4 linked regions of the Rhinolophus ferrumequinum genome follow. The main gene of each other region encodes a partner of the protein of the gene in region 3 in a complex. Links are inferred from orthologs where the notes say so. Each region holds a gene or a part of one and is shown on either strand. Other genes may lie near its edges. The genes, in order: CC2D2A, TMEM17, B9D1 and TMEM107.

Region 1 (7,161 bases), on a different chromosome or scaffold from region 3:
CACTGACTTTAATCGGGAATTAGCACGTTAACGGGGAGCAGAGCACTGGAAATTCAACTGTTTCCCATCTACACCTCCACACAGGCTACAGAAAGAGCGGAAGGGAAATGATAAAAGCAGCTAAGAAAATAAAAATGTGAAGAGGTACTCTAGAAAAAACAAGGGGGCAGATAATGCTGAAGGACACAAAAGCTCTCTAAGAAACAACTCTGGCAATTAAGAACTGGAGAAAAAGAACTGTGAAGTCATTTAGTAACTAAAAAAAGATTCTTAATAAATTAAAAAGTGTGATGTATGAAAGAAAGAAGTAGAAGTAGAAAATGAAAAATGTAATGGGGTTGATTTTTTTCTCCTCATTCTTTCCTGATCATTACCTTTGAATGAGTTTCTAATGACAACAAAATTTATTTTTTTATGAACACTCTTGCTAAGAAAAGATAAATCAATACTCCCCAACTTTAATATACCACTTGTCGTCATATGCACTGAGCACTTGTTAATATATTTCTATTGGCAACATCAAAATAAGAGCCATAATTTACTGCAGGTTTCTTTTGTGCTCTCTCTCTATCCAAGTTGTCCCTAGGCTTCACAAGAACCCTTCTAGCTCAGTAGCTCTTGCCTCAATTTACATGTAAGGAAACCAAGGTTTCCTCTGAGTCTAACCTCTGACAGTTTACCTAATTTGCCCAAGATTATAGTCATAAAATGCCATATTTAGAACTTGACCCCACGTCTGTGATTCCAGAGTCCACCCCCTTACTACTCTCTCTCTCTGTCTCGCCATATATTCTTGCTTTTTCAATGATATCAGTAACTGTTCTATGCTAGCCCACTATTCTGGAACTATTTTCCATTGAAAACTGTGGAGCATTGCCTCAGTGAGAAAGAGCTTTGGCTACTTCAGGCCAGTGATTTGTTTAACTCAGTGCAGAACACCAAAGACATTTTTGAAGGAAAGTACTGACACCTTCATCAAGGCAAAGACTATCCCTGAGGGTCACCAGAGGATCAGAGTCATAAAAGGACCCTGTGACAAATTCTACAGAATGTAAGAAAGAAAGGAATGAAGGTAGATGAAAAAGGTGGCATTGTTTGAATCTCAGCCTTGGCTGCTTAAAAAATAATATAGTATGTGCATCCTACTCCAGGACAGTGAAAACATGGGTTTATAGAAAGAGTGAGGGCTCTGTAAAAAATTCTGTGGACCTGGGTTCAATTCCAGCACTATTTATCAGTTGTGTGATCTTGGAGCAATGCCTTTACCTCTCTGAGATACGTTTCTATGTCTGTGAACGTGGGGCCATTAATTCCTACCTCGATGGGTAATAATTTTATAAGGGTTAAATAATAGAATGTGTGTAGTAAAATGCCGAACACTTACCACGCTCTCCATTCTGGTTAGTGTTATCAGGAGAAGGAGGTGGTAGGGAGGGAAAGTAGAAGACAAGAGTGGGGAAGGAAAAAGAGCTTAGCGGACAGAAGGGGAGTCACAAGAAAGACCTTCTGTGATGTTCAAGTCCCCCATTCCCATCTTTGGTTCCTCTCTTCATCCCATGGGTCCAATAAGCAATATCTCCCCTTCCTTCCCCAGCTGGGCCCAGGGCAGTTTCCTTTCCGTTTCCATTCATGGTGATTTGAAGCCTTCCCCTGCCCTCAGAAGCATGAGTATTTTCTCCCTGTGTACAGTGCTTAACTGTTTCTGTCCCATCCTGTGAGAACCATGGGCAGGTGCCACACACACCTTTTTGAATCCATTACCTGCTTCTATAAGTTATTCTGACCATAGCTTCCAGTAGTAGAAGGTTAGTGACAAATGGCTTTATAGAATCATTTAATCAGCTTCATATAATGTGTATTGCCTTCAAAGAGTACCTACAACTATCTGAGCTGAGCTGGGTGGTGTATGCCCGATGCACACACACGATGAACTGAGTGTCTCAGGCGCTCCCTGGGGGTGGTCTCGCTGGGTGCTAAGAGCGTTAGACCCTTTTATAAATCTCTTATGGCACTTAGCTCATTGCACTGTTATTATCTGTTTGTAAGTCTGTCTTCCCGGTAAACCCTGAGCTTCTAACCTGGTCTAATGCATCTTTGTACCCTTTAAACTCCCGCTCACTGCCTGGTGTGTTGCTGATGCTCAAGAAATGTGTGAATGAATGTCTCTTTAAACAAGCTCCAGGAGAGACAGAGAGAGACTTCATTCTGGTGCTGAGTTTATTTGCAGAAGTTACATGAAAATTTAATAACATCCATGTATTTCCCATTAGACTTCATTTGCTTTTCATAGCACCTCTTTGCAATGAAGGGAAACAATCAGTTTAAATCGCAGCCAGCAGATTTTCTTGTGGTTTTTTTTGGAGAGAGCAGGGAGCCTCAGCCCCGTCTGTCATGGCCCTTTTCTGTCTAATGCCAAGAAAAGTGAAGCTTGCAATAGCTAGTACTTAGCCCTTCGAACCAATGTGAGCTAAAAGGCCCGGAAATGCAAACGCAGCAAATGTTCCTGGGAGTCTGGAAAGCAACAGGATGGAGGGGATGGAAGCCCAAGGAAGGAGGCAGGGTGACCGGCTGGGAGGGATTCACCAGGCTTGTGAGGAGCTGCGTTGAACGTTTCTATACACAAGAACCCGGGCAGAAGCGCAAATCAAAGCAGCCGAGTAGTGCTCTACGTTTTAATTCCAGAAAGTAAAGCATGAATAATAATGATGAGAGACCCTAACTTTACAAGTCAGTGAAATCTGCTCTGGGCTCCGAGGGCAGAGGCTGAACTCCAAGGCAGGGAACCGAAAGCGGGACCCCAGTGCTGCAGCCCTGCTCCCGGGAAGAACGGATTTACCTGAAAGACCTTTAATGAAGGCACTTTGCCGATTCTGCTTTCCGGGATGAAAGGGAAGTGGAGCTGGGTCTTCCTGTTGAATCTTCTAAGCGTCCAAACGAAGGGATGAATGTTGGGGCGTCCCCGGGCGGCTCCCTGGGAAGCTGCAGCCATGTCTCCAGCAAAAACACGCACTTAGCAACGTGTTCCTAAGGGAGGTGGCTTGGTGGCTTTATTTCTCTTAAAGTGACAGGTTATTCCTAGTAGAGGAACACAAAGGTGCGTGGGGGGTGAGAGCAGAAAGCAGCCTACAGGACAAGGAAAAAGAGAATCCACCTGGGGCAGGAGCTGGGCAGAAGTTAAGTCAAACTTTAAGAGCCGTTCCCTCCCTCATGTGTGGGGTCACTGGCATTTCTGGTAAAAGACAGGCCGTGCTCAGAGGCGGGTGCTTTAGAATCATGATGGGTCATTGTTTTGGAGTGAGGATATCTTTGTAGTGAAGGCTCCCTAGAGGTGCTTCCAGGCCCCAGCAAATACTGCTCTGCAGTGTTTTCCGCTTAAATGTGGGAGACTGAATGTACAAGGTTAACCTCTGCTTTTTCTCTGACTCCCACTGAAATGATTGAGCGAAGATATAAATGTGATGGCTCAAAAAGCCAAGGGATAGGAGAAGAGGCAAAGCAGATGGAAGAGCACGGAAGGAGTCGACCAAAGAAAGCCACACTCCAAGTATGCGTGTGTGTGTCTGTTTACTAGTGCGCATGTCCATGTCCATGTGTCTCTCTGTGTGTAACTGGGTGTGTTTGAGTGTATCTCTACGCGTGTCTCGGTTGGTTTGTCTCTGGGTATCTGTGTCTATGCATGTCTCTGTGTGTTTCTCTGTATGTATGTATGTATCTGTGTGTCTCTGTTTCTGTGTATGTTTGCACATCTCTGAGTGTGTGTTCCTCTGTGTGTCCATGTACATACATGTGTGTCTGTGTGTGTATCTGTGTATGTGTGGGATGGGGTAAGTAGGCGTAAGAATGAGGAAATGAACTGATCCAGTCTGCAGAACTCCAGAGAAGCTCAGGCTTTGGCTCAGTGTTGTGATGCGCTGAAGAGTGTCCCACTATATCTTTTTTAGTGGGACACTAAAAAAGATATGTTGGAGTCCTTACCCCCAGGTCTTCAAAATGTGACCTTATTTGGAAATGACTCAGTTTAAAATGAGGTCATTAGCATGGGCCCTTATCCAATGTGACTACATTCTTATAAAAAGGGGAGAATCTAGGCACAGAGACAGACGTGCATAGAGGGAAGGGGATATGAAGACACAGAGAGAATAGCATCTATAAATCAGGGAACGCCTGAGGCACCAGAAGCGAGGAGACACATGGGACCCATTCTTCCTCACAGCCCTGAGAAGGAACCAATCCCGCCAATGCCTTGGTTTCTTACCTCTCATCTCCAGAACTGTGAGACAATATATTTCTGTTGTCTTAAGCCACCCAGTGGGCTGCTTTGTTGTAGCAGCCTCAGGAAACTAGCACAGTTATATACCAAGGAAAGTGGGGAGAGTTATGGGGCTGAAACGCAAGATTTGGAAGTCTGTATACAGAGGGGCTATGTCCTCAAGCTCCTTCCTTACTCCTGGCAGCCTGAGGAAACACGCCCATTCCCCCACCCCCTCTTCTTCTGCCACTCAGAGGAGACTGGAGTTTTCTATGGAAGTTGAACCATAGACACTCTGGTCTCAAGTCCCAGGTACAGCAGACAGTGGGTGTGTTTCAGGGTTGAAAACTGAATATGAAATGGGGAGGTGGGTAGGGCACTCTCCTTCTCACAAAACTGAGGCAAACAAAAGTATATCTTTGGCTCCCCCAGTAACAAACTGGAAAACATGGAAAAATTATTTTCTGGAGAAACTGAATGGTCACAAAGAACAGATGCCAGATACTGACACTTCTGGATCCTCCAATGGAAAAACAAAACAAAACAAAACAAAACAAATCTATCATATCACCTTTACAGAAAAGCATTGCAGAGAAAATGAGAAGATCTCAGGTTAAGAAATTCCACATATGTAGTTATGGAAAGAAAGAACCAAGAAAATGAAAAGGTAGAATTTATCAAAGAAGTAATATAAGAAAAACTCTTATATTTTTATTTTAGATTGAAAGCTGGCACAAGGAGACAGAAAGTTATCTCTCGGTTTCTTTTCTGCATGTGGTGGGAAAAATATTCTCCACAGAATTTATAATCGTTGGCTTGCACTATGCTGTTTAATTGTCTTATTGATGCTACCTATATCATTTAGGAACGCTCCCCCAAGAGACACATTTTAAAAAGCGATCTCCGTTTACTGTATTCCTGTGGGATTCTGGGCAGGAGCAGATACGAAATATCTTCAACTAGTCAATTCCAGATGGCTGCAAATATACTTTGCTGAAGATGAGCTCACAATCCAAAATTAGACAACACAGGAGGGAACAATCAAGAGTCCGTAGACAACCAAAGGGCATATCCAAGAACTTCTGATAACACAATGATCAAATGGAGAATATAAAAAAAAACAATGACCATAAAAGAACTTAAAAGGAGGCTTTGAAGATATGAGAGATATACTATGAAAAAGATCAGGCAAATGTGCAAAGGAACAAGCTAGAGCTTTTAGAAACGAATAATAAAATTATGATTTTTTTTTTTTAAGCAAAGGATGGGTTAAACTTCTGTTAAGAGAGCTGGAAAAAGAATTAGTGACATAAAAAAAAGATATTAAAAAATTAAAATGGGGCCTAGAGAGACGGAAAATGGGAAAGAATGGATGAAAGTCAAGGAGGAGAAATTTAAGGGGTCCGCCATATCTGGTGGAGTCCCAGGAAGGTAGAAGAGAGAAAGAAGGTGAATGCTGAATCTTAACATAGAGAGATCTTCGTCAACTTCCTTTTCTATGTTTCAGTTTCCTCATCTGTAAAATGGGGTTAATAATATTAATGACCACAGAGGGTTGTTAGGTTTATTAATTTAATGTTAATCAAATCCTGGCAGATGCAAATGCTATACGGTTTATGAATGAAAAAAAAAAGGTGAATATTGTCTTAGCTCAGACTGCTTTGATAGAATACCATAGACTGGGGGTGGGGCTTAAGCAATAAAGATGGATTTTCTCACAATTCTGTAGGCTGGGAAATCCAAGATTAAGTTGCCAGCTGATTCAGTTTTTGGTGAAAGCTCTCTTCCTGGCTTGTAGATGGCTGCCATCTAACTGTGTCCTCACAGGGTATTCAGATGGAGACAGAGATAACTCTTCCTCTTCTCATAAGTCCACCAATCCTTTTGGACATCCTCACTTGGATTAAGGCTCCACCCTTATGACCTCATTTAATCATCTAACTTTATCTCCTAAAATTCTTACTTCCAAATACAGTCATATTGAGAGTTAGGGCAGCAACATGTGAGGTTGTGTTTTGGGGGACACAGTTCAGACTATAGCAGATGTTAATTGTAAGAGATTATCTACTTGAAGTGGTTAGTTGCCATAAGAGGATTTATTCACCAGTCTTGTGCTAATTAACTTTCTGATTATGACATTCCTTATCTGTTCGTATTTAACTAAACTAAACCAGTTCATAAGAATTATACATCTCACAATGTTCCAAAATTATTAAAGGGCATAATTCGAAAACATCATTTCTTGCAAAAATTCTTATGTGAGCAAAATAAATGAGTCTAGCAGATTTGTTTTAAATCAAAACACAAAATTCTCATTCTTTTAAGTTACGTGTTCCTAGCTGGCTGAAGAGCTTCCAATCAAGAACTTGTCTTGAATCACACATCACAAGCTCTTCTTCTGCGTCTTTTCAGATAATCAAATATGATTATCCTTCTTTCATTTTTTAATGGGGTGAATTGCATTAACAGGCTTTTTAACGTCAAATTTTTCTTGTGTCTCTGGGGTACACTAAGTTTGGTCAAAACGTTTAAAAAATTAATTGGTGGATTTTAGTTACTAATGTTTAGATTTTTTTGCCTTAATGTTCATAACTGAGATGATATTATTTTTCGTTTTTTGTATTGTTTTTTTTTTAGGATATTTCTAATCTCAGAAAAAGCAGACTAATCTCTCTCTGTGTACCTCTTTCTGTCTCTGTCTCTGTCTGTATGTCTGTCTGTTTCTTTCTCTCTCTCTCTCACACACACACACACAAACTCTGTTCTGTGAACTTGTGCATAAAACACTTGGGTCCAGTGAGATTTTTTTTATCATGGTAAAAATATATATAACATAATATTTGCCATTTTAGCCATTTATCCAGTTTTATCGTGATATAATTGAAATATAAATTTGTCTTAATTTTAGGTGC
Region 2 (7,192 bases), on a different chromosome or scaffold from region 3:
GGGATTCAAAAAGGTTTTGATTAGCCATTAACAATTTGAGGATTATAAGATTACATTTCAGGTTATTTAAAGATTTTTTTAAATGCTGATGTGGAATCATATCTGAAAATATTCTATCCAAATATACAACTTATCTTTTAAACTTGTCTAAATTCTTACAAATGTTTCACATATCATTTTAAAGCAATAAATTGAACATGTTCCCTTAAAAAATATTGTTTCTAAACTCTTTATTAGTATCAAGTAGAGAGAATTTATATCTTTATTATGCCAAGGAGTAATTTAAATGACTCCCCCAATCAGTTTCTTGTCACATAGCATAATACATTTACTGCCAGACAACTTTGCCTCTTGTCAAAGAGAAACAAATCAATATACTAAGCTCAAAATTTTTGTGAAAATATTTAGGAAAGTAAACTATAAATGCAATTAAACCCAAATGAAATACATTAAACGATTATTGGGGAAGCAGCTATTACTCTGACCATCAACTTTGGCATAGGAAGTAAACAGTTTATAGGATTATTTACTAATCTTGCTGGGATTATTTACTAATCTACCCATGATTTTAAGAACAGAGACTCTATACTCCTCTCTTTATATTCTGAGTAATAGGTCTAGAATATGGGAAACCTAAATTACACTAGGCTCTTGAATCCATGTTCTCACTATGTGATTGCCTATATACCAAGGGTGCTAAAAAAGTGAATACAAGTGGACACTTTGGTCAACGTTGCTCAAACAATAGTTCACCATAATCAGAAGTGTCTGGACGCTGCTGGTAACCACTTTGAGCACCTCTTGGAAGTCAAACATGACTTGTATTCATCTTTTGTTATTGGTATATATTGAGTATTACAATTTTAATGCTGTTTTCCTTTCTTAAAATGTGTATTGGCACCCCCGGTGAGCATCAACTAACAAAATAATATTTGAAAGTTGTTTTAGCCCTTTGGACCATTTGTGACATCAATAATGGCAGGATTCTTTCCGAATCACAATACCTTTCCTCTCAAAAATCCTCTCTAATATATTTTTGTACTACCGTTGCCTCTTCCTCTCAATTTATTTTTAATAAGATTTGTTTTGAACTATGAAAGGCACGCTTATTACAGGAAACTTGAATGATAAATAAAAAGAAAAAAATACCCATAATTGGTCAACTTTTCCCCCAAGGATTTTGATGGAATAATTGCAATCTGAACAAGGTGTTTCACCTCTTTTTTCAACGCTAGAGAGAAAAAAAATCTTTAAAAGATTCACTCAGGCCTTGATTTAAATTTAGTTAACATGGTTAATCACATCCTCTGTCTTTACTAGAAAATAGAGGTGTTGTCTCATAGGTACAGTTGAATTCAAAAAATTAGATGCTGGCATGATTTTAACTCCACTGTAGTACATACTGTTTAAATAGATATGTCAATGATAGCTATCACTTATAGAAAGCCCTGTTTAATTATATAATCTTCACATCAACCATAACGTAAATTATCATTATTCTCACTTTACAAAACAAATGTCTGAAATTAATTACACAGCTCTTAGATGGTAAAATGAGAATGTTAGGGGATTTGAACCCTGCTCTCTCTGCTTCCAAGGGCATCCTTTCCACTACAGCTCAGCACTTCATCATGATCTGCTTAACTCCCCTCTTTGGTTAGGCACTTCAAATGCTCCCCCACCTTTTACTTTTTTAACTAATATCAATAATGTTGGAAGTAATATCCTGATGTATAAAACTTTGTGTTTATAATTATTTCCCCAAAATAGAGCCTTAAAATCAGGATTATTGCATTAAAGGCAGGAATATTTTTAAGGCAATTCATAAATATTGCTGATTTGCTTTCCTCCGTGAAATTGTTCAAATTGTAATTCAATCAGCAGAGCATGAAGCTTCCTGCTTCACTTTGCCCTTTATAAAAATCTTGGTTAATTTAATAGATGAAAACTGATATTTTTGTTGCTAAATTAAAATTTTTTTTGATTGTTATAATTCATTGTGTTTTAATATATAAATTCTCCATTCTATAGAGTGAAACTTTTATAAGGGCTGGCTAAGTTTCTGAACTAGAAATGAGAAGATATGTGAGTGATCTTTAGACCTTTCATTCCCCTTATTCATTCAGTAGTCATCCAGTTTCCACTCTAGGTCAGGAACTGTACTCTAGTGTTCAGGATATAAAGATGAAAGCCCATTATGAACTCAAAGAGCTTGAGAACTAGCAAAAAAAACCAGACACAAATAGACAATTATATTAATAGCATAGTGTGACTAGCGCTGGGACCAAAGTAACACAGAGGAAGATGTTGTGAGAAACAGAGAGGAGGGCACTTAAGCCCTACTTCAGGAAAGTCCTGGAAGCCTTTCTGAGGATGTTGAGGCCTGAGATCCATCTTAAAAAAAAGCAAAAGTCGGCCAGCTTTTCCCTAACATCCCCAACCAGAATTAACTGCTTCCTCATCTGTGTTCCTTTCCTAATGTGTATTGTACTTATTTGTTTCCATGTCTCTCACTCTCTCACTGGGCTGAAGTTCTTGATGGGGAGGGACTATATCCCTATTTAGCCTAGTACAATGTCCCAAAAAGTAGTACGAATGAAATCAACATTTGCTGAATTATTTTGAAATTCTAGCCATGTAGCTGTTCCCTCCCATAACTTCCTCTTGACATTTATACTCATATAAATACCTGTGGTTTTCCTTTTAATTGTAAAAATAATACTGTTCATCACAAACCCATCAGAATGGCTAGAAGGAAAGGAAGGAAAATAGGAAATGTTGGTGACAGATTTAGAGCAACAGGAATGCTTACATTGCTGGAGGCAACAGAAACTGGTACAAGGACTTTAGAAAACTGCGGGCAGCATTTATTAAAGCTGGGTCACACCTCATAAGCCAGCAATTCCACTTCTAGAAATAAACCCAACACAAGTGCATGCAAGTGTTCACCGAGAGGCATATTTTCACCAAAAGCAGCACTATTCATAATAGGTCCAAACTAGAAAATACGTATGCTCATCAACAGAATTAATAAACTTACTGTGTTATGGTCATACACAGCAAGGAAAAAGAATCTACACTCAACAATATGACGGAGTTTCATTAAAACAATTTTGATTATTAAAAAGCCAGATTTTTAAAAATAGCACTTACAATATTACTTTTATATAAATCATAAAAATAGGCAAAACTATACTATGTTGTAGAAAACAGGAAAGGTCAGTTAGAAGTGGAGGTTTAGTGACTTTTAGGGAATAGGAAGTAGGGGAGCTTCTCAGTATGCTGGTAAGGTTGTTTCTTGAGCTGGGTGCTGGTTACAAGCGTAAATTCAGTTGGTGCCCTTTTCTGTACAGCTGACCCTTGAACAACATGAGGGTTAGTGATACTGACCCGCCAGTCAAAAATCTGTGTATAACTTGTAGGCCCTTCTCATACGTAGATTTCCAACCACAGATTGAAAAGCATATTATATTTCAGTGGCTTTTTAAAAAATAATACATCTTATTTGAGAGAAAGCTGAAAAACACAGAAATGTTTTTAAAAATTTAAATCAGCCAAAACCCACTATCCAGAAATAACTACCAACATTTTGAATTATTTCCTTCTAGTCTTTTTTTGAAGCCAGTGCTTGTGCTACCTCCTCCTCTCAGCGCTCCACATATTTACACGCACACATTTTGCTAAGTTGGGTTCATTTCTATTTAGTTTTACTTGTTTTTTTAATTTTACTTAAAGTTAATCCTTATCATCAAATATTCGATGCAAGCATTTTTTTAAGCTGTTGCAATGTATTCAATCAAATGTATGTATATATACATATACACACATATATAGTGAATGTATATGCACACTCTTCTAAGTATATTATATATTAGGAATATTATACATATATATCACTAGAATAGGAACTATTGGGTCATGAACATTCTTTAAGCCCTTCATTCATTCTATATTTCCTTCCAGAAAGGTTGCACCCCACCAACAAGGTATGAGGGGTCCATGTATCACAATCCAACCCCAGGTCATTTATGATTATTTCTATTTGTTTTTAGACATTGGGGCTTAAAACAGGACTAAGGAATCTGTCGTTTCGCACCTGGCTAAGGTGCCTGGCAGGAACTGGCTTTCCACAAACACCTACCTTCCCGGCTTGCGGGACTGAGACCGGTACCTCAACCCCGCTGTGCTGCTGCGCCTGCGCCCTGGGCTCCAGCACCACCCGGTTGCTGTGGGAACCGCAGCACTGGGCTGCGCCCGCACACCCAGCTGTGAGCGGTACCGAAGCCCGGGCATGGAGCTGCCGGATTCGGTCCGTCTGCGGCTGGGAAACTTCAGCCGGACCGTGTTCAGCGACTCCAACCGGACTGGGCCGGAGTACAACGAAAGTCCGGGTGAGTGGCTGAGGCCCAGAGCAGTGTGTGTGGCTCACCGAGAAACTGGCGCGGGTTTTGGAGCGGCCAGATTTTGCCCAGACCTAAAATGGCGGTTTCGCCTTCAGCTGGTTCTCCGCAGTGGGTGAAGTACCTTCGAGAGGCCGGGCCAAGAGCTGGGGCTGGGACTGGGACGTATCTCAGCCCTGATACCCGGCCAGTCCGGGGTTGATCGTGCCGCGGCCTGGCCAGGTAATTGCAAGCTGGGCAGCTGAGGTGAAGCTGGTCTTCCTCAAAAAATAAAAATATGAAAGCCGCCTTCACAGCACACATCAGTTCCCACACCCTCTTTGAAGGCCAGCGTTGCTTTTCCTTTGCGACGTCAGCCCTTGGTTTTCTGACTTAGACGGAGGGAATCACCCTTTCCCACTCCTCACGCCGGTAAAATATCTTTTCCTTTTCTCTTTTCCTAGCAGAACAAGTACGTTCCACCACAAGGCGGTTTTCTGGCAGAAGAGATGGAAAGTTTTTTTTTTTCAATGAGTCATTTTAAACCACTGTCCACTCCAGAGTGACACTGGCAACACTAGCATCGCCTTCAACAAAACTCTTCCCACTTCCCCACCTTCTTCTTTCGTTCCCCTTTATAAACTCTTTCCCTAAATCTGGTAACAAAATACATTTAACATGAGACAAGTGATAACACAATTTCCTCCAAAACAGTTTTCCCTTTTTAAATCATGACGATAGACCTCATATTGTCAACCAAATCCAGTTTTTTATCACTTAATTCTGCGGGAAATATAAATCATTCCCTTTTGCTTGGTTTAGGTATTTTCAAAAGGATCAGAGAAAAGTAAAGTTAATTCCCATAGCTGCATTTTTTTCAACTTGATTACTTGCAGGTCCCCCAAATTGAGGCTTCTTCAGATTTAGTATGTACAGAGAAAAACGTAATGTGAAAAAGTAGGTTTTTACATCTCTGATTCTAAAGCTAAGGCTCAACAGGCTCTAAAATCTGATAATGCAAGGTACCATGGGTCAGCAGACATTTTCTGTAACGGGCCAAATAGTAAATATTTAACATTTTGCAGGCCACAGGTCTCTGTGGCAGCTACAGTATAGATAATGGTAACTGAAAAAATACGGCAGTTTTCCAATAAAACTTTATTTATAAATAAAGACACTGAAATTTGAATTTCTTATGATTTTTCAGTGTCACAAAACATTATTCGCTTATTCTTCCCCCAGCCATTTAAAAATGTGAAAAACCATTTTTAGCTCACTTGCTATATAAAATCAGGCAGCTGGCTGGTAGTTTACTTACCCCTGATTATATTACATAATGTTTTAATTTAAATTCCATTTACAGAACTTAACATGTACTTTTGCAAAATTTAGTAAATTCATTTCTTATGCTTTCATGGTTCATTTACATATTAACTTGATTTTCAACTGCATGATTATAAATTTGATCTGCTGAAATATACACATAGCGTAACTCTTAAGATGCTCATGTTCAAAAGTTAAAAAGAAAAAAATCTTCCTTGCAAAAGTTGACTACAGTTTCTGCTCCAAAGGTATTAACATTATCAGTTTAAAGAATTTATCATTATTTTTCTACATTTTCTTCTTAGTGGATCTGAAATGGGTTTGATTATTTGTACTATAATTATGTTTATCATTACCATATCCACAGCTGACCAAGAATTGTACTGTTGTTATGAAAAAAAATCCTAGGATGGTAAGTTGCCTTCAGATTTAACAGATTTTAAGAATTCACTCTTTTATCAATGGTAATTTAATAAACAGTTACAACCAAAAGTAGATCATAACAATATTTAAAAGTAGATCATAATAATCAGACATATTCTTGGAGCTAAAGGAAACCTTATTGCTGTGAGACCATGATTATTTCTTATATTTTAAAATTATTAAATGACACATAAAATACTAAGTTGTGGAGAAAAAGAAGAAATCTGTTTTTTAAAAATTTATTTTAGAGCCTTTGTAAATTCTTACATTTAGAGCAATTGATTTCAAAATATGTATCTGCCCCTAAATTGTTAGAATTTACTAAAATTTAGTATGCATACGATTCAATTTAAAAAATAAAGTTCTTATTTTAGGACCCTTCTACCTTACATAAAACCAAAACATATTCTATAATAAGTCTTAAATAAATGCAACTGATGTATCATGAAGGTTTACACTGATAATGTCCTTATGACAATCTGTTTTCATTAGTTCATTCTTTCTGTTAATGTGTATTTGGTATTTACCATGTGTAAAGCAAGATGCTAGAGTCTATGAGGGTCTCAAATTTGGGTAGAATGTGGTCTTTTCTTACACTGAGGCTGTATATAAGTGAAAGAAAAGGAAAGTAGACGAATATTACTGAGAGCCTTTTAGGTGCCAGGCATGGTTAAGGTGAAATAATTCATATTATCTCTAATCCTCACAAGCAACCTGTGAGGTCATTTTAATGTTACCATTTTATAGATGAAGAAATTGAGGCTCAAAGAGGTTAAATAACTTATCTCAAGTATGGCATCCAGAGTTACAGGAAAGTTTGGGGAGTTCCAGGTTTACTTGGACTCCAAAGCCCATGATCTCTTTAGTATACCGGACTGTGTCTTGAGTGAGTGGAGTGTGGTTCTTTGCTAGCACTTCTTATATACAGGTTAGAGTTATAAGTACCTAGAGGAGAAAGAAGTACCTAGAGGGGATCTGAGCAAGAAAGGATTTATGGGAAAAAGTGGTATTGAACTGAATATTAATGAATGGGTGGGATTGTGGTATATTTAAAGAGGTGTGTGTCT
Region 3 (7,888 bases):
GGGCACGGGTGACTCAACCCCCCAAGTGTCTCCCAAAGACCCCCACTCACTCATTCACTCACTCATGCTGTCATTCGATGAGCATCTGAGCATTTAGCGAGTGGCTCCAACATGCCTGCCCTCCGTGGGTGCTCAGAGAATTGAGTGTGGTTGGGAGAGAGTTGTGACTGCGGGGCTGAGGGGCTCAGAGAAAGGCCCTGGACCACCTTGGGGGGAGGAGGCGGAAAAAAGGCAGTCTGGCGGAGGGGTTACTTACCCGGATCTTGAAGTTCAATAAGAAGCTTTCAAGCAGTGAAGGTGGAAGGGATCTTCCAGGTGCGAAGGGAGAGTGTGTGTAAAGGCAACATGATGTACTGAACACCACTGGATTGTACACATAGACATGGTTGGTTTTAGGCCATGTGAATTCCACCCCAACAAAAACAAATGCTTACGATTTTTGATTTTTAACCGGACAGTGTGTGTGCAGGCATCTAGTACTGCAAGGTTGAGGGGCAGGGAGGTGGGGCAGCAGCAGGAGGGACCCGAGGGACCCGGCAGGCCACAGAGGGCTTTGTGTCACTTGTGAAATTCAGCTGTGGGCCTGGCCTGTGTCCCATTCTACAGGGAACCAACAGGCATTCCTGGCGTGGCCCCAGCTCTCTCTACTGGAGAGCTGAGAGGCTGAGCCAGGAAGAAAGACCTGGAAGGGCTGTGAGAGGAATAATCTGGAGACTTAAGAGTCACAGCAGCCGTACTTCGAATCCCAACTCTGGTTCCAACTCATTGTGATCTCGGGAAGTCACTTCACTTCCCTGAGCCTCGACTTCCCCATCTATAAAAGGGGGTGGTAGCACTGCTTTTGTGGATTGTTGTAAGGAGCCCTGTCCTATGGATGCTACAGAGCTTTGTGGGATGGGAAGAGGTGGGGGGAGGATTATTATTGTTGCTGTCGACCGCGGTCGGCTGGTCTCTCTGACACTCACCTGAGACGGAAAGCAGGCCAGAGCTAGGAGGTCCCCGGCCCCAAACCAGGAGGGGCCAAGGTCTGTAAGCAGGATGTCTGCACCATGGTTCAGGCCCTGCCGCACAGCTTCCTCTTCCCCAGGCCAGTTCCCCTGTGCCCTATGACGTGGGCCGCATGGGTATGGGAGGGAGGGGGCATTGGGTGGTTAAATTTCCTGGGCTGACAGGGAGGAGGCCACACCCAGTGGAGTCAAGACTCGGGCCTCCTCTACAAATGCTGCCACTGCTGCTGCTCCTGCTGTTTGGTAAGGAGCTGTGGGTAGGGAGCCCGGGGAGTAGAGGGGGAAGGGATCCATCCCTTGAGGGCTGAGAATCCAGGTCTCCTGGGTGCCGGACAGAGTAGGTGACAGGCAGTGAGTAGGGGTGTCTGGCCTGCAAGGAAGAGCTCCACGTAGATGAGACCTGACCTTCTAGATTAACAAGGTGGGGGGAGGCCCAGCTGCCTTAGCAATGATCCTGTGAGAGAAAAGCAAGGAGAGCTGGACCCCCACCTGTAATGAGCTCCTGGGCAAGAAGGGGAGGAAAGCCTCCCAGAGGGCAGATTGTGGGGGGATGGGGAGAGATCAAGGAAGACTTCACAAAGGTGGGGTTTGAAGCCTGAACAGGCGTCGTCTAGGGGGAGCAGCTGGGGGATGATATGCTATACACCTGGAGGCATAACAAAGCATGAGTATTCCAAGAACTACCTTTAATAAGAAAAACAGCTAAAAAGGTATTGAACTTCAGCTTGTTTTAAATATTTGACATATATTATCACATCTAATCCTCACAACAGCCCTGTGGGTGTGACGAAGAAACTGAGACTCTGGGAGGTTAAGTAGCTTGCTCTAAGTCACACAGGATTCCACTGCAGGCAGTGTGGTTTCAAACAGGGGCGGGGGTGGGGGGCAAGAGGTGGGAGCTGCGGCTGCAGAGGTTAGCAGAGGCCTGGATGGAAAGATGGGGGCACAGAGAGGAAAGAGATGAATGGGAGACGTCCAGGATGCCGGGACCCAGAGCTGAGCTATGAGGCCTCATTCTCCCAAGGTGCAGGGCCAAGGCTTGCTGAGACCTACAGCAGAAAGGGCCCAGACACGTGGCCTTGGCAGGCAAGCATCTTCCTGGATACCCGGTACCGCTGCGAGGGGGCCCTCATCTCCCGAGAGTGGGTCCTCACAGGAGCCAACTGCTTTGGCAGGTGTGTGCAGGGTCGGGGAGGTGGTGGAGCGGGGCCCCAGGAGGGAGGACCGTAGCCTCATTGCCTCCCACTCTCCACAGCTGGCCTCAGTCCCACTACAGTGTGACCCTGGGCCCAGATCGACTGGCACTGGACACTTGCAAGAGCAAGTCCAGAGTGGAGGAGCTGCTGCTGTCCCCAGGAGGGCCCAAGGGCTCTGGGTCCGGTGGCCTGGCCCTGGCCCGGCTGGCAAGGCCACCATCTCTCAGCAGTGCCGTGCAGCCTGTGCCTTTGGCCACCTGGCCTCAACCTTTACTCAAGTGGCAGCTCTGCTGGGCCCAAGGGTTCGAGCCTGATTTCGGTAAGGATGGGAGCAGGTGATTGGGATGGTTGAGGGTGGTGAGGAGGCTGGACTGGACGAGGAGCACTGCCGGCGTGTTGCTGGGACCCTGCAGAGGTAGTACTCCTGAGTCCCTGAGCCCCAGAGGACAACCTTGCCCGGGCCAGCCGCTGGTCAGCCTCACGGACACAGACTTGCGAGGGAGAGGCAGGGCCCTGCCACCCTGCTTTGCCTGAGTCAGCTTCCAGCTCCACGCAGCCCAGATGGCTGGCACTGGGCACTGTCCCCATCCCCTCCCCAGGCTGAAGTGTGTCCCAGATCTCAGTGGGCTTGAAGCTTTCCTGAGGGGACTGTGAGAGTCTAACAGAGGACTGTTTAAGAGAGAGGTGGGGCTGAGGAGTGTCCAGAGGACTGGAAGCCCAGGAGGGTGTGTGTGGGGGGGGGAGACAAGGCAGGCAGGGAAGCTTTGCAGTATGTTAACAACTGGCAGGGCAGGACTGCTGCAAACCTGCTGGATAGCAATCAGGGCTGAGGGTCTGTCCCCACCGCCCTGCAGATCCCTACGTGCCACCCCAAGAACTGCACAGTGTCCCCTTGAGACCGCTCCACATCAGAACCTGCAAAGATGCCTTTCGCCTCCGACCTGACTGCCCTGACCTGAACGTCGGCCTGTCCAAAGGCTCCCAGTGCTCCAGGCCCCTCCCCGGGGCCCTCAAACTGGTGGTGAGGATCCCAGCCTGGCACTTGCTGGTCCCGAGGTGCCCTCCACCTCAGTCCCTCCTAGTCCCACTAGACTTGATCGAGCTAGGCCTGGTTACCCTCTCATTCCACCTGGGGTCTCCCATTCCACAAAACCCAGGGAACCGGCTTATCTGCACCCCTGATGGCCACCCCAGAGCTTCCCACCCTTGGGGTGTCTCCCCCGTTAGGTCCTATTCAAATGTGAGGCAGCCTTTGACATAGCCAGGTTGTAAACTACTGGGAGCCCCCTGGTTATTTGATAATCACAAGCATTTTGTTGAAAACTGACTTTTGTGTAATACTGAGCCTCAAAAGCCACAAGGAGGAAAAAGTTGGGTGACAGTGGTAGAATTTGTGGGGGAAAGCATTTTAACTGGGAAGACACACTGAAGGGCTGGGAAAGGGAATATGCAAGTCCCTGGGAGCAGAAATCCCTGCCTGAGAGCCTTGCGGTGCACAGGAGCCCCACTCATCCAGCCTCTCCCGACCGAGGTAGGAACACTGGCTGCCCAGGCTCCCCCTAATCAGGTCTTTGCTCACGTGGAGGGAGGGGTCAGTGGGTCTGGGCTGGCTGTAACCTGTCCTTTCCTCTCCGGCACAGGTGTCTGATGGGACTCCCCTAATCTGCTCCCAAAATCGCAGCTGGTTGCTGCAGGGCGTAATGACCTGGAGTCCCTGCATGGGGCCTGGACTCCCAGAAGTCTACAGTCCTGTGTATCCTTTCGTTTCCTGGATCCAGGATAAGGTCCCCAACGCCACCTCACCGGCTTCTACAGCTCAGCCAAGAGGCACCCTTGGGCCTGGCTCAGGCCCAGGAAGAGGCGGTTAGGGTCTTTAGCCTGTGGAGTCCTGGGTTTGAATCCTAAACTTACCTGCTGACTGTGTCCCAGTCGCCTCCCCTCCTGAATCTGCTTCCTTCTTTGTGTGATGGAGATGGATTCAGGTATTCACCTAGCTAACAAGCTGTTACAAGATGTGCCAGGGAGCCACAGATCAGGGTGGCCCTGGGGGGAGGGGGGGCGGGGAGGGCGAGCCTTAGTCCGAGTTATGACAATAATAAATAATAAATGTGCGAATGCAAACCATGAGAGCTAAGAGCAACCGGATCAATGTGTTAACAGTAGCTGCGACCCACTCGGGGCAGCTGCGGAGTAACTGTCATTTGAACAATGTCCTGACAGAGCCGTGGGTTCTGGCTCACCCCGTGGGCCTCAGTTTCCCCCTTCACACTGAGGAGCGGTGACTCGTTTCCAAGTATCCTCTGAGGTTCCTCCATCTTTGTTTAATAAACGTTTTGGAGACGACGGCCTTAAAAGCCCCGCGGGAGCGTCCCCCCGACCCGACGCGGAGCGCCCGGTCCAGCCGGCCCCCCAGACCCCGCGGCCCCGCCCCTCCCTCCGCGGCCCCGCCCCTCCCTCCGCGGCCCCGCCCCTCCCTCCGCGGCCCCGCCCCTCCCTCCGCGGCCCCGCCCCGTCGCCCCGAGATGAAGCCGCAGCGCCGCCTCCCGGCCGAGCGCTGCCGAGGCCCGCTCGGGCGGGGCAGGGCCGCGGCTGTGACGGGATTGGGCGCCGGGCTGGCTTCCGCATCCCGGCCCCCACTCCCGCCCCTGCCTCGCGTGGACTCTCCCAGCATTCCCGGAGGAGGGAGGGGCCGCGGACTGCGCCTGCGCACCGCCGCCCACGTACGCTCGCCTTCTCGAAGGTCGGGCTTTCAAGAAACGTGTTCTGCCCGCCACGCCATCTGTTTCCAGGGCAACCCCGGCGCCTGTGGGCAATCGCGCGCGGAACCCGGGTGGTTTCCGTGCGCCCCCTGCCATGGCGGCCGCGGGCCCCAGCGTCTTCCTACTCATGGTCAACGGGCAGGTGGAGAGCGCCCAGGTGAGCGGCCGTGGACCCCGCCGCGGTCCCACCCCCACGCTCCCCTGGGGACCCGCCCCGCAACCTCCTGGGCCGCTGTGTGGCCCCAAAGAGGCGTGTCATGCCTCGGTTCTGCGGGGAAAGGGAGCCAGCATTTGAGAGTCTTGGCGCGAGGTTGCTGGGAGCCCTCCACCCTGATGTGCCCGCAGAGGCGGAGCTGGGACCGAGCTCGCGCCCGGCCGAGCCTGCGGCCCCGCGCGACGATCGTGCGTGCGCCTTCTGTTGAGTCACAGCGAGCCTCGCGCGGGTTTCGCCGGAGGAGCGGAGGCGCGGCCAGCACACTGGGCCTTGTCCTCTCGTAACGGAGCTCGAGGCATCTGCCCCGTGTCCGGTGCCCTGCGAGTGCCCCGCACTCTGAACACTCAGACCCTTGAACTTGGCTGGGAATGGAGATGATTAAGTTAATTGATCCAACGATGGCGGTGGCCTGGAATGACCCAGGGAGGGTGTGCCTGTCGGACGCCAGGGGATGCTACTCGCCATTATCCATCCTCCTACATTTTATAAGAACCATTTGTGTGTGTGTGTGTGTGTCTGTGTGTGTGTGTGTGTGGTGTATAAAGTTTACTAAGTACGTATTCATTGTGTGCCATACTCGAAGCTCAGCATTGCTCATTCAGTTCTCACAACCCTGTGAAGTAGATCTTACTTCATTTTACTTCCCCATTTTACAGATGGAAAAACTTGCCCAAAGGAAGTGGCAAAGCTGGAAACTTGAATCCAGGTCTTTCTGACACCAAAGCTTTGCTCCACTGCCCTTCCAGGCTGTTGGAGATGGTGTTTATTATTTTATCATTGTGAGGATTAATGGAGATGGTTTAGATAAAGCTCTGCCAGGGCCTGAGTGTTAGTAGGTGTCTTACTGCCTTCCTGTTTCGTCAGGGATGCTCCTCCATATTCCCACCCTGTCCTCCTGCCCCTTGGCCTAGTGCCCAAGACCATCGTCCCCTCTTCTGTCTCACTTGGGGCTCTCAGCTGGACTGGGTCAGGTGTAGCATTCTCAGCACCCAGCCCGCTCCCACTCTGCCTCCCCCTCTCAGAGCTCCCGGCCCCTCCCACTCTTCAGGCCTATGCTCCCTGCGCTGATAGCCCCCTGGATTGTCAGACCTTTCACTTCAGCACCATTCCCTTAGACCTCCTCTGTGTCAGGTGCTGGGGACACAGAAAGGCATCAGACTTGTTCCTTGCTCACAGCTTCATGGGGTTGACAGGAATAAACACAGGCAAGTGCTTTGCTGGAGGGAAGCACCAGGGACTGAAGGAGCTGGGAGGTGGCCCTTCAGACAGCCTAGAAGTTAGGGCAGGCTCCCTGAAGGGTAAGTTTTGAAGGATGAGTAGGAGTTTGCCAGAGGAAGGAATGGGAAGGGCATGTCAGACAAAAGGCGGAGGCTGAGCTGAGGCCCAGGGGCGGTAACAGTTCGGGACCCGTGGAACTCCCACATGTCGAGCCCCAGTGCTCAATTCCATGTCCACATTCCTGGTTGTCACTTAGATCCCAGCCCAGGGGTCTCACGTTCAGAATGACTGTTGGCTACACCTGCCTAGCTAACATGTTGGCCTCACACGAGTTCCCATAAACAGACCCTGTGTGTGCTTGTTTCCACAGTTCCCTGAGTACGATGATCTCTACTGCAAGTACTGCTTTGTGTATGGCCAGGACTGGGCCCCCACAGCGGTAAGCTGGGCCTTAGGCCTCCTTTACAGCCTTCATGACTGTTGGCGTTTCTGAAGGTGTCAGTCGTACCCCTTCTCTTCCCAGTTTAGAACCCACCCAGTTCAGGGGGGGACCCATCCATGAGTTGGTTCCTGGTAAAGCTGGAGTGGAAAACACAAACATTACTGGGCTCACTGATCCGTGATCTGAGGCTGTGCTCACTCACGAGCCCTCGTGCGCATGGCAGCAAACAGAAATGCATGGGCAGTGCGGGCGGGCCCCAGAGAGCCAGCCTGGAAGCGGCTGAGCCAATAGACACTGTGGGCCAGTCCCTTCGTTGTTTGGCTTCTCCTCAGCTTGTGGGGAGGACTCCGGAGCTCTCCTTTTCAGACGTCCCAAGGAACACTCTGTCTCCACCAGGAGCAGGACTGTGGTGGCAGCTTCGGCCTGCATCACATTTTATGGTTTGCAGAGCTCTCATTTAATCCTCACAGCAGTTGAGGAAATAGAGACCCAACTCATTCAACCTCTCTGTTTCCTCATCGTGCAAGTGAGATGACGGTTCTTATTTTCTGTACACCCATTTGACTGAATAATTATTAAAAGTCTTCTGGGTGCCGGGGATCCAGTGGGGAACAAAGTCAGACAAAAGTCTCTATCTTCCTGGAGTGCACGTTCTTGTTGGGGGAAGACAGACACATTCCAGTATGTTAGCTAGTAGTAAGTGCTGAGGAGAAAGTAGTCAGGAAGGGAAGGTATAATGGGTAGGTGGCCAGGTAAGGCCTTGCTGAGAAGGTAGCTTTTGAGTCAAGACCTGAAGGAAAGGCCGGAATAAGCCATGTGGAAATCTGGGGAAAGAATTTGTCAGGTCGAAGGAGCAGAGAGTGCAAGGGCCCTGAGGCAGGAGAGTGCCTGGCACGTCTGAGGAACAGCGAGGAGGCCAGTGTGGCCAGTGTACAGAGTGAGCAAGGAGAGTGGTTGGGGATGAAGCAGGGAGGTCACAGACAGGCAGGTCTCAGACGGCGTGGTAGGTCAGAGTCAGGGTCCTGACCTTTCCCAGGGGCAGGATGGGACTC
Region 4 (7,173 bases), about 11 Mb from region 3:
TTTTAATAATTTTTCTTTTAAACATGTTCTTTTCATGTGCTAGCAGGCAGATGCTAACAGGTGGAGTGTTCCTCTGCGAACAACAGGTTTGCCAGGTTTCTGGGTAGGAGCTCCAACCACCAGAGAAATTCTCCCTGAGCACGTGCCCTTCTCACCATGGTGAGGTGGAAGGTTTGACAAAAGACCATTTATGACACCACGTGGTATGATCAACATTAACGATCGTTTGATAGCAAAGCCCAGAGATAACAAAAAACATTTACTGGTGACAAAGATTTCTCCAGAAAAAAACTGGGAGTACTCGGCACTTGAATTGGCCCAGAAATTGAAAGAAAAATCTTGTATGTTAACGTAGAGCCTCAAGGTCAGAAAACGGAACTAGCAGCTTCCAAACAAATCCGCCTAAAGACACTCCACAAACTAAAACAACGAGATAACAAAACCACTCATTAAGTAAAACCTACAACCAGTAAACTCCAACTACTACAATTGTAAAAGAAATGATCGCCAGGAAGAATCAGATAGGAGCAATCAGGGTGTTGCAAGACCTGATTACGCAGAGACGTTAATCACGAATCATGCGAACTCCAATCATCACATTCTAATCTGTCCTCCGAAGAGGAACAGGTAAGGATTATCCTACCTGACGATAAGGAACTTCTGACGGCATTACCATATTCAGTAAAAAAGATTCCGCTATAAGCAAGGGTGAGAATATAACATGTTAGTCGGAGCTACCTAAAATATTCATATTCTTACATTTCTGTTGCTACATTTATTTGCAGATCTTTTTAAAATACAGGTTTTTCCCCATTTGGCTGCCAAAAGGGATAAACTAACTTCCCCAGAATGCTCCACTCCACGATCTTGCAGTCCTGCTGGCATTACTTATTTACATATCTCCGCCCACTCCCTTCTGCCCGGCGTCTACCGTAATAACCAAAAAAGCGATACAATCTGCAAGGAAAACAGCCTTCCGTTTCTCTAGTAGTTTGGCTACCCCAATTCTCCTCTGAAATTTTTGTAAGCCTTGATCTTACTCTAAAATAGGTTTTATTACAAATCATTAAATAAAACGCTGATAATCCCAGACTCGACAGATAATTACTTTAAAATCCTCCACCAAATGCAGTCTTACGGGGGAAGGTTGAAGATTTTGCTTTCCTCCTTCCAGGAACGGTCAATGGTCCCTTGCTTCTCCAGCCTTCCTCCCTAGGCTCCCATGAAAGTGATCAGAAAGGTTTCTTTTTCAACCCAAAGACGCTGATGAATAATGCCATTTCAGTGACAGCTGGGAGGGCACTATGGAAGGTTAAGGTGGTGGGTTCAGGGCCCCTTCCAATAAAAATCCCCGAACCAGAGACCCCACCCCCAAAGTATAGGTGGAGCGGGACTTCAAAAAACTAAATACAGGACTTTGAGTGGATCTGGTATCTCACACATGGAGTAAAGGGCTGGGTGGGGCTACCTTCAGATTTACAGTAAACCTTCCTCCCCCATCCCATCCCCAAACATTGGATGTTACTGTACCTGCAGAAGACAAAAATGTACCAGTATGTGGTGCACTCCCAACGCTCAAATATGAAAAAGGATAGTGCCACAGACGCACTACAGTGAGCCCCGATGGCTGGGAACGCCCCTGAGTCAAGGAAAGTCTTTGGATCCAGAGGCAGTGGTGGACCAGAAAAGGCCAGTGGTGGGGCTGGCATCTGTGTCTGGTTCATTTCTTGCTCCCTCGCCAATTGCGAAGGCACAGAGCCAGTAGCCCTGCCTTCTGAGTTTTAGGACAGCCATGTGAGTAGAGGCTAGAGCTGAGCCTGCACAGCTGGGACCGCAGGCTGCCCCCATCCCAGATCTAGGGGCCAGCCTGGACTCTTCAGATGAGGTAGAAGTGGGTTCCCAATTTACCCCAGGCTACACAAGAGATTGTATTAAATTATCTAAGAAGATCTCTCAACTGGAGAGATTCTGTTTGCCTGCTAGGGCAGGCACTATTGTACCAAAAAGTTAGGTGGCTGAAGGGAGTAGCGATGGCAATGGCCCCTGTGGGAAAGGTACGCAGGCAGAAAGGATACAGATGAGGCTCTGGGTACTGTTGAACATGGAAACTCCTGAGAAGAAACCGGCCAGCTCCACTGCAAAGAGGCCCAGGGTGACAGACAGCGCTGCCACCAGCCTGCAGAGAGGAAGGGGGTTGGCTCAGGCCTTCTGGACTTCTTCTAAGACCCTTCCACTCCAACTACTACTTAATTCTGACCACCCCTCCCCAAGTGCTCACTGAATGTCCTGCTTCTCATACTCCTCAGGGGTAAACGTGAGAGGCAGGCAGGCCTGGATGTTGCTGTCCTGTTGAGCAGGTCACAGAGAAAGAGAAGTGAAAGAGGGGTGGGCAGCGGGGGATAGGAAGACCCAACCGGGTCAGGCCCTGGGGATAGAGCGGTGTTGGGCTGGGACCACACCGACGTGGGAATGGGGGTTGGGTGGAGGGTGGCCGTGGATCTTACCCGGGACCAGAATAAGGTGATGACGACGACCAGATGCGCCAGGAGCGTCAGGAAGCGAGAGGGCACGAGCCCCGAGATCCGGCCCATGGCTCCGAGGGGTAAGGGCACCTCCTGGAGCAGAGGCCGTGGTCTCTAAGGCTGGAAGCTCAGGCAGCGCCACTCTTGAAAGTCTCCCAGGTTAGCAGGCAAAAATTCGACGTACGCCGTCTTCCCGCTTTCACTGGCGCCGCCCAGTTGCCTTAGCAACCGCGGAGGCGGACACCAGGACCGGATCTCTGAAAATCTCGCGAGATCAGTAAATTCTCGAGTCGCAGTGGACCTCCTGGAGAGCGTGGGTCTGGGGTCAGCTGAGGGTGGTCGCAGTAGGGTGCCCGCCTCCCGCCAGCTCCCCACGCGCAGCCGAGCCGTCTGTTTGCACCTGAGACTGTGCTGTGTGACTGGGTCCCGCACCGCCGAATTTTCCCACGCGGGTCCAGAGGACGGAAAACCGCCCTGTCCTAGCCTGGGAACACCCGTTCCTCCGCGATGTCCTACCTCAGGAGCGACCCGGGCCCACACCCCCTTGCGTAGCCCAGGATGACCTTCCGCGTAAGAGTTACTCGCTGCTGACCCTTGTCACCGCCGTGCGGGACTTAGGGCACCCCCATGCCTTAGGCATGGACACTTTCTCTCCTTTCCTCTTCCGCGTCTCTCTAGCATCCCACTGCCCTGGGCCCGAAGAGACGAAGGAAGCCGAACGTGGAGAGGTGGATATCCCTAGATTGTCCAGCTGTCACTTATTGTCACGGAGCCCCTGGTTGTTCTAGGACCCTAGACCTGAACCTTCCTTGATTCTGATTCCCCCTCAGACAACTTTGCTCAGTTTGGCGAGAGATTTGCAGAGTGCAGAAAATGGCCAGCTCTCTTGAACTAGAATGTGGATGAGAAGCGTCTTTTGGGAAGGGAGTGGACTACGGAGCCGACTAGGAGGGATTGGAGGAAGGGAATGGTACCCGCGTCCCTGGGAGGCGAGGAGAGGGCAGCGATGCAGACTGCTTCGATTTCCTTACATCTTTCAGGTGTGGACACCCGACTTTGCCCAGTTACAGTCCAAGAACTTCTAACTGTCGGCGACTTCACTGACCTTTGGGCCTCAACGGGGATCCCTAAAGAACGGAAAGTTCTCACCTGTGATTATTGCTCAGAGTCCAATAACATTCTTGTAGGGACCTCCCTGCCCACTTTCCAGAAGAGCTAGCTCTCTTCCCACTCCCTATCTCAGTTCTTTTAAGGCGGTCTAAACTGCAAGTCCAAGAGGCATTTCTATTTCTGATTGATTTATTTATTCATTCATTCAACAAATATTCATTGACCAGCTAGTAAGTGCCAGGCACTGTGCTGGGCTCTTGTTCTTGACGAACAGGACAGAAGTTTCTACCTTCATGGAGTTTATAGTCCAGTCAGGGAGATAGACAGCAAACATGCAAATAAATAACAAATCTGCATGGTACTATGTGCTATAAATAAAAATTTTAAAGGGAAACACTAGAATAATATTGATTAAGGAAAGGCTCTTTGAAAATGGGTCATGTGTTCTTAACCTTTATTTAAGGAAATGTGGTCTAAATTGTGAAGAAACACATTTCTCTCTTCCAGGACCCCAGTGTAATAAGTGGACTTCCTTTTTCTAAACCAGTGGGTGAAAAGATTCAGAACTCAAAAAGATAGTCAGAAGATGTTTCCTCAGGTCATGAAAGACAGAGAGTAACATTTCCAGATTAAGGGAGACTAAAGAGACCTGACAAATTTAGCATGACAAATTTAATGTGTTATCCTAATGGATCCTGGACCAGGAAAAAAATAACTTCATTTCTTTTATTATTTTATCATAAAGGACATTAGTGGAACAATTGGCAAAATTTGAATAAGATTTCTAGCTTAGATAATAGTATGGATCAGTGTTAATTTCCTGATTTTTGAAAATAATTCTATTGTCTTCATGGAAGAAGATGTCCTAAAGACTGAAGTGTTTAGGGATAAAGTGGCATGTCTGCAATTTACTCTCAAATGGTTTAGAAAAAAATATATATGTGTCTGTAGAGATAGAATGATAAAACAAACATGATTTCGATGAAGGTATATGGGAATTCTTTGTATTTGTAACTTTTCTGTAAATAAAATTATTTTAAAATAAGTTTTACATGATAAGCCCTTTTAAAGTTTTTCTTCCAGGTATTATACAATATTATTAATGAGACATTAAGTTGCTTTATGAAACGAATGATTTCTAGGATTGCAGTTCCCGAAATGTTGGACCATATATTGAAACCATATAATGGTATTTACATATAATACAGCACAACCTTTTCCTCATAATGGAGACAATTGATCTCCAAAACTCATAAAATAAAAATTGCAATCATTTAGACTTTTCAGAGAAATTATTTTTATCAAGAGTGAGGTCCACAAAATCTCTTTATTCTCTACTCAAAAAAATATTGGATGATAATCAAATATTACCCACACTGGTTTCTCAGCTCTCAGATGTGCAGGGGGAGTTTCTTTTAACTGTTGAACCATTTCAAAGTTCTGAAAATATTTACAAACCTCCCCTATGTCAGGCCGGACAGGCAAACTCATCAAGTACAGTAGACCCAACTGTTTCTCTCCCTTGAGGTGACCCTCATCACTGTGAGACCCTCAAAATGAGTGACACTGATGACACCTAAAGTACAATGAGAGGTGGAAATCCTGTATTCTCCAACGTGGAAATTACAGAGTAGCAAGCATGGAAACATTCTTAGCACATAGACAAGATGCAAGGACCGAAGGCCTCCTCATGCTTTTCTTCCTTCTGCCTATAACTTACAAGCCTTTTCTCCTAAGAGTGGAAAGCCAGGGCCTTCAGAGCCAAATTCCTCCAGTGGCAGTTTATCAAGTCTGACTGTTCGCACATGAAGGAAACATTGTCATAGTGTGAAAATGAGGAAAGACTGGGACCTGCTTTTACAAAATGAGGTCCCTGGAACAAAGAGAATATAGAGGAGTCAGCTGTGTGACAATCTGGGGAAAGAGCATTCTAGGTGGAGTAACAGCACGTGCAAAAGTCTTTAGGTGAGAACAAGCCCAGTGTGTTTGTTGAGCAGAACGGAAGCTAGTGTGTCTGAAGCCTAGCTAATGGAAGGGGGAAAAAAGATCAGGGTGAGATGGGATATACAGACAAGGGTCAAATCATGTTGGGCCTTGCAACCATGGGGAAGGACATGATCAGGTTTGTATTCTAAAAGATGATATTGGTTGCAACATGGAAAATGAATTTTAGGAAGATTTCAAATAGAAGGCTAGTGAAGAAACCATAGAGTTATCCAGGAAGGACAGGATGAGGTTGAAACAGGGTGGAATCAAGAAGGTAAAGTGGAAGGAATCAAGAGATTGTTAGAAGATAAGAAGGTCTGAACATGGGGCTATGGGTTGGTGAAAAAAAGGGAGGTCAAGGATGACAGATTTTGGGCTCCAGCAGCTGGAAGTTTGGGGCATTCTGCTTATAATAGGCTTCCTGACTGGGGGACTGACTAGATAGTAAGAACCGCGTAGTCATATTTCACATTGTGGATTAATAAATAGCAGGCAGGCATTTAGCTATGTCCTGTCATTTTTCCATTACCTTGGTTCACAGAAGCGTGACCTAGAGAAATCTCAAAAACGTTGCGTTTTGGAGCCGCCCTGTGGTCATAGGAGGTACTGCTGCTGACTTGGTGTTCACTCACTCCAGAGCTGGAACCCTCTCACGTCCTAACATTTATTTGACCTGGTCATAAAAGAACTTAGAAAAAAATTATTTTGTCATGGAAAAATTTAAACGTATATACAAATTTAAAAAATAGCATAAGGAGCCTCTTTGAAGCCTATCATTCTATATCAACAATTACCAACACGTGACCAACCTTGCTTCCTCTATACTCTCCCTCCCATCCCTATTAGCTTATTTTCAAGTAAAATCTCAGACATCACCAAATAGTTCAAATTGCCCCCTCAAACATTTTTTTTTACAGTTTCTTTGAATCACGTCCAAATAAAGTCCATACATTGTACTTGGTTCATGTGTCTCTTAAATCTCTTTTAATCTCAGGTTCTTCTCCTCCCTCCTTCTTCCTCCTGTTTTCTCTTTTCTTGAAATTTATCTGTTGAAGACATCAGGCCATTTATGGGCTGTGTTCTGGTTGGGTCATTTAACATGTTCCTCTGTGCCTTGTGTTTCCTGTAAACTGGCTGTGAGATAAGTCCCACGTTTAATTTTCTGGTAAAAATACATTATGAGTGGTGGCTTGTACTTCTTATTCCATCACAGCAGGAAGGACTTAATGCCTGCTTGTCTCTCTTTTTTCTGGTGTAAAATCTGAGCAGTGGGTTTAGACTGAGACAACCATTATAAAGTTCCCTATCACTTTTCACCTATGGGTTTAATTGATTATCACGGCCTAGCTCCATTATTTCATGAAGGGTTGCAAAATAAGGATGTCCTAATTCTATCATTCCTTCTGCATTTATCACTTGGGATTCTGCTATAAATAAGAATGTGCCCTCATCATCTCGTTGTTTACCACGAGATACAGGTCATACAGGAAAGACTGGATAAATGTATGTTTTTTGTCCCCTCTATTATTTACCAGTTTTCAGAATAATGGGTTGG

The links.
Region 1: B9D1 (region 3) and CC2D2A share a complex: the UniProt entries of both Homo sapiens proteins name them as parts of the tectonic-like complex. The link is inferred for Rhinolophus ferrumequinum from reciprocal best matches to the Homo sapiens genes B9D1 and CC2D2A.
Region 2: B9D1 (region 3) and TMEM17 share a complex: the UniProt entries of both Homo sapiens proteins name them as parts of the tectonic-like complex. The link is inferred for Rhinolophus ferrumequinum from reciprocal best matches to the Homo sapiens genes B9D1 and TMEM17.
Region 4: B9D1 (region 3) and TMEM107 share a complex: the UniProt entries of both Homo sapiens proteins name them as parts of the tectonic-like complex. The link is inferred for Rhinolophus ferrumequinum from reciprocal best matches to the Homo sapiens genes B9D1 and TMEM107.

What each region holds. Positions count from the first base shown.
Region 1 is NC_046288.1:78,839,146-78,846,306, forward strand, and holds the start of CC2D2A (coiled-coil and C2 domain-containing protein 2A), read right to left. Parts: upstream 3,004-7,161; 5' UTR 2,837-3,003; intron 1-2,836. UniProt on the Homo sapiens protein: Component of the tectonic-like complex, a complex localized at the transition zone of primary cilia and acting as a barrier that prevents diffusion of transmembrane proteins between the cilia and plasma membranes.
Region 2 is NC_046296.1:26,930,517-26,937,708, forward strand, and holds the start of TMEM17 (transmembrane protein 17), read left to right. Parts: upstream 1-4,173; 5' UTR 4,174-4,291; coding exon 4,292-4,391; intron 4,392-4,498; exon of another isoform or gene 4,499-4,622; intron 4,623-6,069; exon of another isoform or gene 6,070-6,114; intron 6,115-7,192. UniProt on the Homo sapiens protein: Transmembrane component of the tectonic-like complex, a complex localized at the transition zone of primary cilia and acting as a barrier that prevents diffusion of transmembrane proteins between the cilia and plasma membranes.
Region 3 is NC_046304.1:160,176-168,063, forward strand, and holds the start of B9D1 (B9 domain-containing protein 1), read left to right. Parts: upstream 1-4,882; 5' UTR 4,883-5,056; coding exon 5,057-5,119; intron 5,120-6,764; coding exon 6,765-6,833; intron 6,834-7,888. Other genes in the region: tryptase gamma-like, read left to right, coding at 1,220-1,250, 2,032-2,182, 2,263-2,522, 3,058-3,224, 3,844-4,071. UniProt on the Homo sapiens protein: Component of the tectonic-like complex, a complex localized at the transition zone of primary cilia and acting as a barrier that prevents diffusion of transmembrane proteins between the cilia and plasma membranes.
Region 4 is NC_046304.1:10,814,400-10,821,572, reverse strand, and holds TMEM107 (transmembrane protein 107), read right to left. Parts: upstream 2,759-7,173; 5' UTR 2,592-2,758; coding exon 2,505-2,591; intron 2,347-2,504; coding exon 2,279-2,346; intron 2,177-2,278; coding exon 2,076-2,176; intron 1,628-2,075; coding exon 1,531-1,627; intron 1,303-1,530; coding exon of another isoform or gene 1,233-1,302; exon of another isoform or gene 1,213-1,232; coding exon 1,110-1,212; 3' UTR 508-1,109; downstream 1-507. UniProt on the Homo sapiens protein: Plays a role in cilia formation and embryonic patterning. Requires for normal Sonic hedgehog (Shh) signaling in the neural tube and acts in combination with GLI2 and GLI3 to pattern ventral and intermediate neuronal cell types.